Linked DNA regions of Canis lupus familiaris. The protein of the gene in region 1 interacts with the protein of each later gene in a pairwise test. Links are inferred from orthologs where the notes say so. Each region holds a gene or a part of one and is shown on either strand. Other genes may lie near its edges.

Region 1 (3,751 bases):
AACGTGCTCAAGTTCACCAGGCTGGGAAGAGCCAAGTCAGCTTTTGTTTGGAAGCCCTGGACATCCAGGTGACCCATCCCACACACCTTTCTAGAGACCGGCTGCCCACTGCCCAGCTCACCTGGCTGGTGTGATCAGCACCCATGTGCAGCAACATTTGGACACAAGCCAGCCTGTCTCGGGCCTGGGTACTCAGTACCCGGAAACATAGGTCAGGTGGGTGCACGGCAACGTTGAGGGCCAGGATGGCTGTGTGGAGAGGGGTGAGGCCTGCGGAACAGAGACAGTGAGGGCTCTGCATCTGGGGCACCCACCCCACCCAAGCCCACCTGCCACACCCACCCTGCCGACCACTCAACTTACCCTCGAAGTCTCTGGCTTCCAGGTCGACCTGAACCCCCGAGTTAATCACAGCCTGAGGAGGAGAAGGCAGAGGGCTGGATTAGTCTCCCCAGGCCTGCTAGCCCTGGAAGCCAGGATGTGAGCGACCAGTCCATCCCATTCACCCCACCGGCCAGCTGGCCATACCGAGAGGACTCCTGGGAGCCCATAGGTAGCAGCCACATGCAAGACAGAACGTCCCTGATGATCGGTGGCATTGGGCTCTGCTCCCAGGTTCAGTAGATCCTCCACAATCAGGGGCTGGTTGGCGGCAGCAGCCACCAGCAGAGGGGTCTGCAGGAGATAAGAGGGTTAGTCTGAGCCCAAGTCTCCTCCCCTCTGCAAACCAAGAATCCAGGTTCCCAGACCTTCTGCCTTCAAATCCAGTCCAGGCCCCCGGCCCTCACCTTGCCCTTATGCTCCCGAATGTCCAGACGTCTGTATACCTGGAGCATCTCAGCTGCGGCATACGCTGCCCAGCGCAGCCCTCGAGCCGCGAATAGGTGCAGGAGCCTGAGAACAGGTAGGGGGCAAGCAGTGAGCACAGCAGCCCTGCTAAGCCAGGAACATGCAGACCGCAATCCCCTATACTCACGTGTCTCCCTCCTCATCCTGGGCCAGCAGCTGTTGAGGCCCCAAAGCCAGCATGTGAGCACGGGCTGTGTCCAGGGATGGTCCGGTGGCCAGAGTAGGCAACGGTGGGGGTCCTGAAGGAAGTCCAGAACCTCTCCAGGATCCTGCCTGTGGCAGGGAAGGTTCTGCATAAAGCCGGGTATCCAGGGGGTCCTGAAGGATACATGTGGTGGGCAGACCCAGTCAGCTGAGAATTCCCTCTTCCTAACATACAGATGTACACACAGTGCCAGGCAGAGTGGCTGGGTGCCCCGCCTGCACCAAGTGACCCTGGACCTTTGGGCCTCAGTTTTGCCCATCTGAAGAATGGGATCTTAATCCAGCATGAGGGCAACTGGGAATTTTAGGGGTCCTTCAGCATCCTATTCCCACTCTGTATCTCACCTCCATCCCCACAGAATATGGACACTGCCGCCCTGGGTCGGAGGGTGGGTAGAAGTCAGGAGTCAGGAAGCCTTCAGCAGCAGAAGCAGGGTAAGAGTAGGGGCTGTCTGTGTAGGCAGCATGCGTGTTGGGGTCCCAGTCTGGAAAGCCCGTGGTGGGAGCCAGGCTGCCAGGTCCAGAACCCACAGTCTCTTGGTGTACTGGGAAGCGAGAATGGCCTGTGTGTGAGAGGAGGGGCAGGGGCAGGCCTGATTACCAGAGTTGGGGAAGTCCTGACCTAGACTGGAGGACCGGAGTGAGGGCCTGGAATCTCCCAAGGTACTGAGAGCTAGTACTTGTGGGACACCAAAGGGCTTGAACCCAGAATCCAGGGCACCAAGCGGTTGAAAGCTTGGACTTCTGCCACCTGGACTCCAGGGACACTGAGGGTTGAGCGCCTAGACTCTTGGAGCAACAAAGGGCTGCAAGCCTGGGCCCCCGGAACACGGAAGGACCTCATACATAGACTAGCGGGCTCCAGAGAATCTGGGAGATCAAGCTGCTACCGGGTCGCAGCAAGAAAGAGGGTCTGGTCTGACTCCTAAGTTTCCCCAAAGTTCTAAGATTTAGAATGTCTGAGTCGGGGAAGAAAGCTGGGGCTGCGCCAGCTGAGGGGACCAGATGGGTTTCCAGACTTACCAGCCTCACTCTCATTCACAGATGGGGTCAGGGACTGGGCCGGGGGAGGTGGAAACTGTCCCTGGAGAGGCATAAACAGAAACGAAGGAGGGTGAGTTTATGTGACACAGCCCTCAGCATCCAGTCCCAGCCGCAGCATCTAAGTCAGGGCCGCACCCCCGCTCCGTGCTGAGGGCCCAGGGAGCCCTCAAGTCCCCGCCCAACAGGACACGGCCTCACGGGAGTCCCGCTTCAGGGCTTCCCGGGCCTTACCGGTACCCCCCCAGCCTCAGGCTGCTGCTGACGGCGCCTCTGTTCTTCCAGGAGCTTCTTCACGGTCTGCGATGGGCAGTGGCTGCGTTCACCCCGGCTCACTACAGGGGGGGGGGGGGGGGGGGGGGGGGCGATCAGAGGTCCTCAAGTCACCCAACTCGGGCCCCCTCCCTCGACCTCCTGCGCGGAAAAACTGGCAGGCTGACGCCACCTGAGGACCCCAGAGCCATTCTTAGCTCTCAGGTGCAGCTTCCGCCTCCGCCGTTTCCTTCCCTTCGCTCCGCGCTTTCCCCTCTGACCCAACTTTCCACCAGCGTCGTGGAAACTGGGGAAGGGGGAGGGGCGCGCCCCTCTGCAGCACCTCCCCCCCCCCCCCCAGCTTCCGTGAAAACTCCCAGCCCCCAGATCTCCCAGTCGCGGGGCCTGGGGGGCCGCTGGCAATGACGCCCTGAGCCGCACGGGCAGCTTCCCCGCGTCGCTCTGCCCTGAAGCTGACCTCGACGCACGGTCCACGGGAACCAGGCGTCCGGCCCGGGTCCCCAGCCCCTCTCCCCAGGGGACGACGAATCAACAGCCCGCCGGCTCAGCCAAGTCCAGACCCCGGCGCCCCTCAGATCTAAGAGTCCAGGCCCCACTCTGGGGAGCCCGAGCGCCTAGCGCCCCTTGCCCCGGGACCCAGGAGTCCGGGCGCTCAGCCTCGCCCCCCCTTGCGCCCGGGAGCCCCGGTTTCCAGGAGCCTGGTCCGCAGCCCCCGGGAAGTCGAGGCCCGGAGCCCGCGCCCTCCCGAGCCCGGGTTCCGGCGGAGGAAGGGTTAAGCGGGGGAGGGCGGACTCGGAAACGGCCCAGACACGACGTGCTGACGTCGCGGCGCTCACGCAAGGGAATCTTCCATCCACCCCTTCCCCTCCCCGCGGCGCGCCGCAGGTGTCCGGCTCCGAGCCCGGCGGGCGGCCAGGCGTGGAGCTCGCGGAATCCCCGCACGTGGGGAATTCCTGCTCGGCGCGGGGGCCGGCGTGGGCGGAGACGCGGGAATTCCCGGGGCGGGGGCAGGGCGGAGGTCGGCGCGGCCCGCGGCGGCCCGGCCTCACCCACGGCTTTTAAACCACCACGCCCCCAGGAGCGGGGGTCCGGGCCGCCAGCCCCCTCCGCCCGCACCACCCGGGGACCCACCCCCCGCCCGGACCCAGGAGTCCGAACCCCCGGGCCCCTCGCCCCCGGGAGCCCAGGCTTCCAGCCTCCGGCCTCCCGGCCTCCCGGCCTCCATCACCACCCAGCAGTCCGGGCGCCCGCGTCCGCTCACTCTCAGCACCCAGGCTTGACGCTCCCCCATCCCGCGGTTCTCGGGGGCCGGACCCCCCACACCCTGGCTCTCGAGGGGCCGCGCGCCCCACCTCCCCACCTCCACTTACCCCTCGGGTTCCGT
Region 2 (3,651 bases), on another chromosome or scaffold:
GAATGCAAATTTTGCATAAGACAACTTCTACCCATGCAAAGCTCTCGTAGAATACTAGTTGCTGGCTGTCTTGAAAGTTACAGGGAGCCCAGAACAACCAAAATAATTTCCTTACAAATATTTAAAATGTATAACCATGACTTGCCATTTCTAACAACAATAAAAAGACTAAAACATTTAAAAATAATTTTTTCCTCAGTGGAAATTTTCTATTTGAACATAAATCCATCAATCCAATTTTTTTTTCTTGTGTGTGTTTACATATGTATAATTTTACATATAAGTATAGTGCCTTTAGGAAACAGCTTGCTGATCTTGTGTAGCTAGTGTGTGCTCTTGTAGCTGTCTTTAATTTTGTCTTTTTTATTTTATTTAGCATAGTCATGATCTTATGACTGTGATGTTCCAGTAAATGTAATGCTCGTATGGCAGAGACGCTGAAAATGCTGCAGTTCAACCTTGCAAAATTGGCTTTAACTGCAGTTTGTTTGGCCGAAATCCTTCTGTTTGGTTTGAGTTTTTTCTTTGTTTTGTTAACTTTCAAAAAATCAATATGGCATTTCATTTTGTTCTTGTGTTGTTGGCTATGCATCTTAGAGTAAAAAAGTTAATTAAGCGAACTTCTCAGTTGTTTTTTTTTTTCTCTTCTCCAATTATCCTGTAGGAAATTCACAATATGGCCAACAGCAAGATGCCTACCAAGGACCACCTCCCCAACAGGGATATCCACCCCAGCAGCAGCAGTACCCAGGGCAGCAGGGCTATCCAGGACAACAGCAGGGCTATGGTAATAGCTTTTTGCAGTTTATTTTTGTCACAAAAAATGTGATGATTGAAGCAAATATTGAAGCAAATATTTAATGTTTATTTTTCTAAGAATTCTTATTTTTGAAAATTCACAATTTTAGCTCAGTCTGTTACTGGAATATTTATTTTAAAGTGTTTTGCTCAGATAAACTAGTAATCCATTTAAAAAGAAACAAACTAGAGATGGTTCATTGACCAAAGGTAAGGTATGTAGTCATTTAAAATGAGTTCTTAAATGAATTCTTAAACCTCTTTGGTATTCATGACCACCCAGTAGCTTTGTATGTGCTTAGAAAACTGATGAATTGGTTGATTATTAACCGTATCTACATAATCCACTTAGCAAATTTATTTCTAATGACTGTTACTATGAAAAATAGCATTGATTTTTAGAGTACAAATGAGATTTATTTGGAATGCATAAAAAAATGTTTTTGTCATTCTTTGGTTAAATAGTAATATACACATACATAGAGATATATATTTACAGAGTTTGGGGAAATGTAGCCATATTTTCTTATTGTAGACTCACTATAAGATCTAGTGGCTGGATATCTTGCTTTAAATAACTTTATTAGATAGGGAGTGGGGAATGATAAAGACCTGATATCTCATTCTTAAATATTAAGCTACTGTCACTACTTTATATATAGGAAAATATGTTTCTAATGTTAGAGACATCTTCTCTTGCTAGCATGGTCTCTTTTTTACATCAGTAATGTCTTATTATTTTTAGTCATTACTTTAAGCTCTGTGATTAGTATGGGCGCCTCTAGCCACCCGTCATTGCAAATCTAAGAACCAGGATCAGCTCAAGTTCTCTTGTGCCTTCAATATATGCATTGAAATTTAGTCATGTATTGGGAGCCAGGCATTCTCCCCCAAACTGATAATTGTGGTTCCCTGATTTGAGATAGGACTTTAGAAATATTCAGTGGATTTCTTGTTTTTACAAGAGGACTTTCTTGCTCTTTTCAAATGGCAATTTTCATTTCATGACCATTGAATATCTGTATTTTGAATAAGTAGAGTATTTGGTTTTATTGTATTTACATGAAAATAAATGCAATGTGGTTTAATCAAGTAAATTCATTGATTTAAGACATTATTTTTGGGCAGCTCCTGTGGCGCAGCGGTTTAGCACCGCCTGCAGCCCAGGGCGTGATCCTGGAGACCCTGAATCGAGTCCCACGTCGGGCTCCCTGCATGGAGCCTGCTTCTCCCTCTGCCTGTGTCTCTGCCTTTCTCTCTCTGTGTGTGTGTGTGTGTGTGTGTGTGTGTGTGTGTGTGTGTGTGTCTTTGAATGAATAAATAAAATCTTTAAAAAAAAAAAGACATTATTTTCAGTGGGAAGAGAGAGTAGATGAAATTGAATATTTTTTGGTTCAAGTAGTTATGCTATTTTGTTAGACATTGGGAATCCCAAAGAAGTTCCCATTTTACTTATTCATAGGCTTCATTTGTCTTACTTTCTTCTAGTAGAAATTTAGAGTTTAATAATGCCTGTATAGTAATTAAATAAATAATAGACTGATGGAATTTATTTACACTTGAAAGTTTATTCTCTTTTGACACTTTCCTCTGCCATCTGTTTTTTTTTTTTTTTTTTAATGGCAGATTTTGAATAGCTGTGATAGAAAAAATTTAAGTGTCAAAGCTTTTCAGCTTATGCTTTGTAAAGCATTCTTTACAATAGGCAGTAGTGGAATTTATGAAAGAGACATATTTGTTTGGCAAGCCAGATTAGTCCCTTGCCATCTCTGGAGTTGGAAATCATTCATTTTTATGGGTTAAGTATTAAAGGTGATTGGTACATAGAGTGTAACTTTTGAATCAGGTTTTTTCGCATGCAACCTGTGGCTTTTCAAGTCTTCTTTAGTTTTGGTTTGAAAATATTGTGATAGTAAGTTTATCAGTGCAGAGCATAAAGCCTTCTTTTGATAATTGCAAATACAAGTCTAGAATTTATATGGAAAATTATTCTTTGTGATCCTTTGGTGATTTCAAGTGTAAATCTAGAGTCCTACAGCTATAAATATCATTGGTTCCCAAACTTTATTCAGAAATTATTTCAACAGGGATCCCTGGGTGGCGCAGCGGTTTGGCGCCTGCCTTTGGCCCAGGGCGCGATCCTGGAGACCCGGGATCGAATCCCACATCGGGCTTCCGATGCATGGAGCCTGCTTCTCTCTCTGTGTCTCTGCCCCTCTCTCTCTCTCTCTGTGACTATCATGAATAAATAAATAAAATCTTAAAAAAAAAAAAAAATAAATTATTTCAACATATTTCTGCTTCTTGCTTTTTCTTTTACCTATTACTCATACTGGTTGGCTTTCTAGTAGAAGTATAGATAAATTTTCTTAATACCATGGAATTAACCTACTGTACAACTCCTGAGTCTCTTTTACTCATTAAAAAAAAATTTTTTTTTGATGGCTAACACATAGCTCACTAGTTACACTGAATCAAAACACCTTGTACATGGTGGTATCCTTACAGTATTTTCACTCTTACAACCTTTGGAATTTATTTCAAAAAGTAATTGAGAAGATCAAGATACCAAACTATCCTTTTTTTTAATATAAGAACATAATAACATCTAGTTCTAAACCGTTCTGAGAGTTCAAGTTCTGTTTTTATCTGGGCTTTTATTTGTGTTAATTATTTTGCAGGCCCTTCGCAGGGTGGTCCAGGTCCTCAGTATCCTAACTACCCACAAGGACAAGGTCAGCAATACGGGGGTTATAGACCAACACAGCCTGGACCACCACAGCCGCCACAGCAGAGGCCTTACGGATATGACCAGGTAAGTTATTTGGCCAGTGATTGCCCCATTGTTTGTTC

The links. The genes of interacting proteins can lie anywhere in the genome.
Region 2: the proteins of NFKBID (region 1) and SS18 interact in a two-hybrid assay, tested with the Homo sapiens proteins (2 studies listed by BioGRID and IntAct). The two-hybrid records come from large-scale screens. The link is inferred for Canis lupus familiaris from reciprocal best matches to the Homo sapiens genes NFKBID and SS18.

The regions. Positions count from the first base shown.
Region 1 is NC_049222.1:117,609,499-117,613,249, reverse strand, and holds the start of NFKBID (NF-kappa-B inhibitor delta), read right to left. Parts: upstream 2,814-3,751; 5' UTR 2,559-2,813; coding exon 2,540-2,558; intron 2,430-2,539; coding exon 2,329-2,429; intron 2,138-2,328; coding exon 2,077-2,137; intron 1,617-2,076; coding exon 1,399-1,616; intron 1,168-1,398; coding exon 977-1,167; intron 895-976; coding exon 789-894; intron 676-788; coding exon 529-675; intron 416-528; coding exon 364-415; intron 271-363; coding exon 122-270; intron 1-121. UniProt on the Homo sapiens protein: Regulates the expression of IL-2, IL-6, and other cytokines through regulation on NF-kappa-B activity. Functions in the regulation of inflammatory responses.
Region 2 is NC_049228.1:62,588,011-62,591,661, forward strand, and holds part of SS18 (protein SSXT), read left to right. Parts: intron 1-664; coding exon 665-787; intron 788-3,479; coding exon 3,480-3,613; intron 3,614-3,651. UniProt on the Homo sapiens protein: Appears to function synergistically with RBM14 as a transcriptional coactivator. Isoform 1 and isoform 2 function in nuclear receptor coactivation. Isoform 1 and isoform 2 function in general transcriptional coactivation.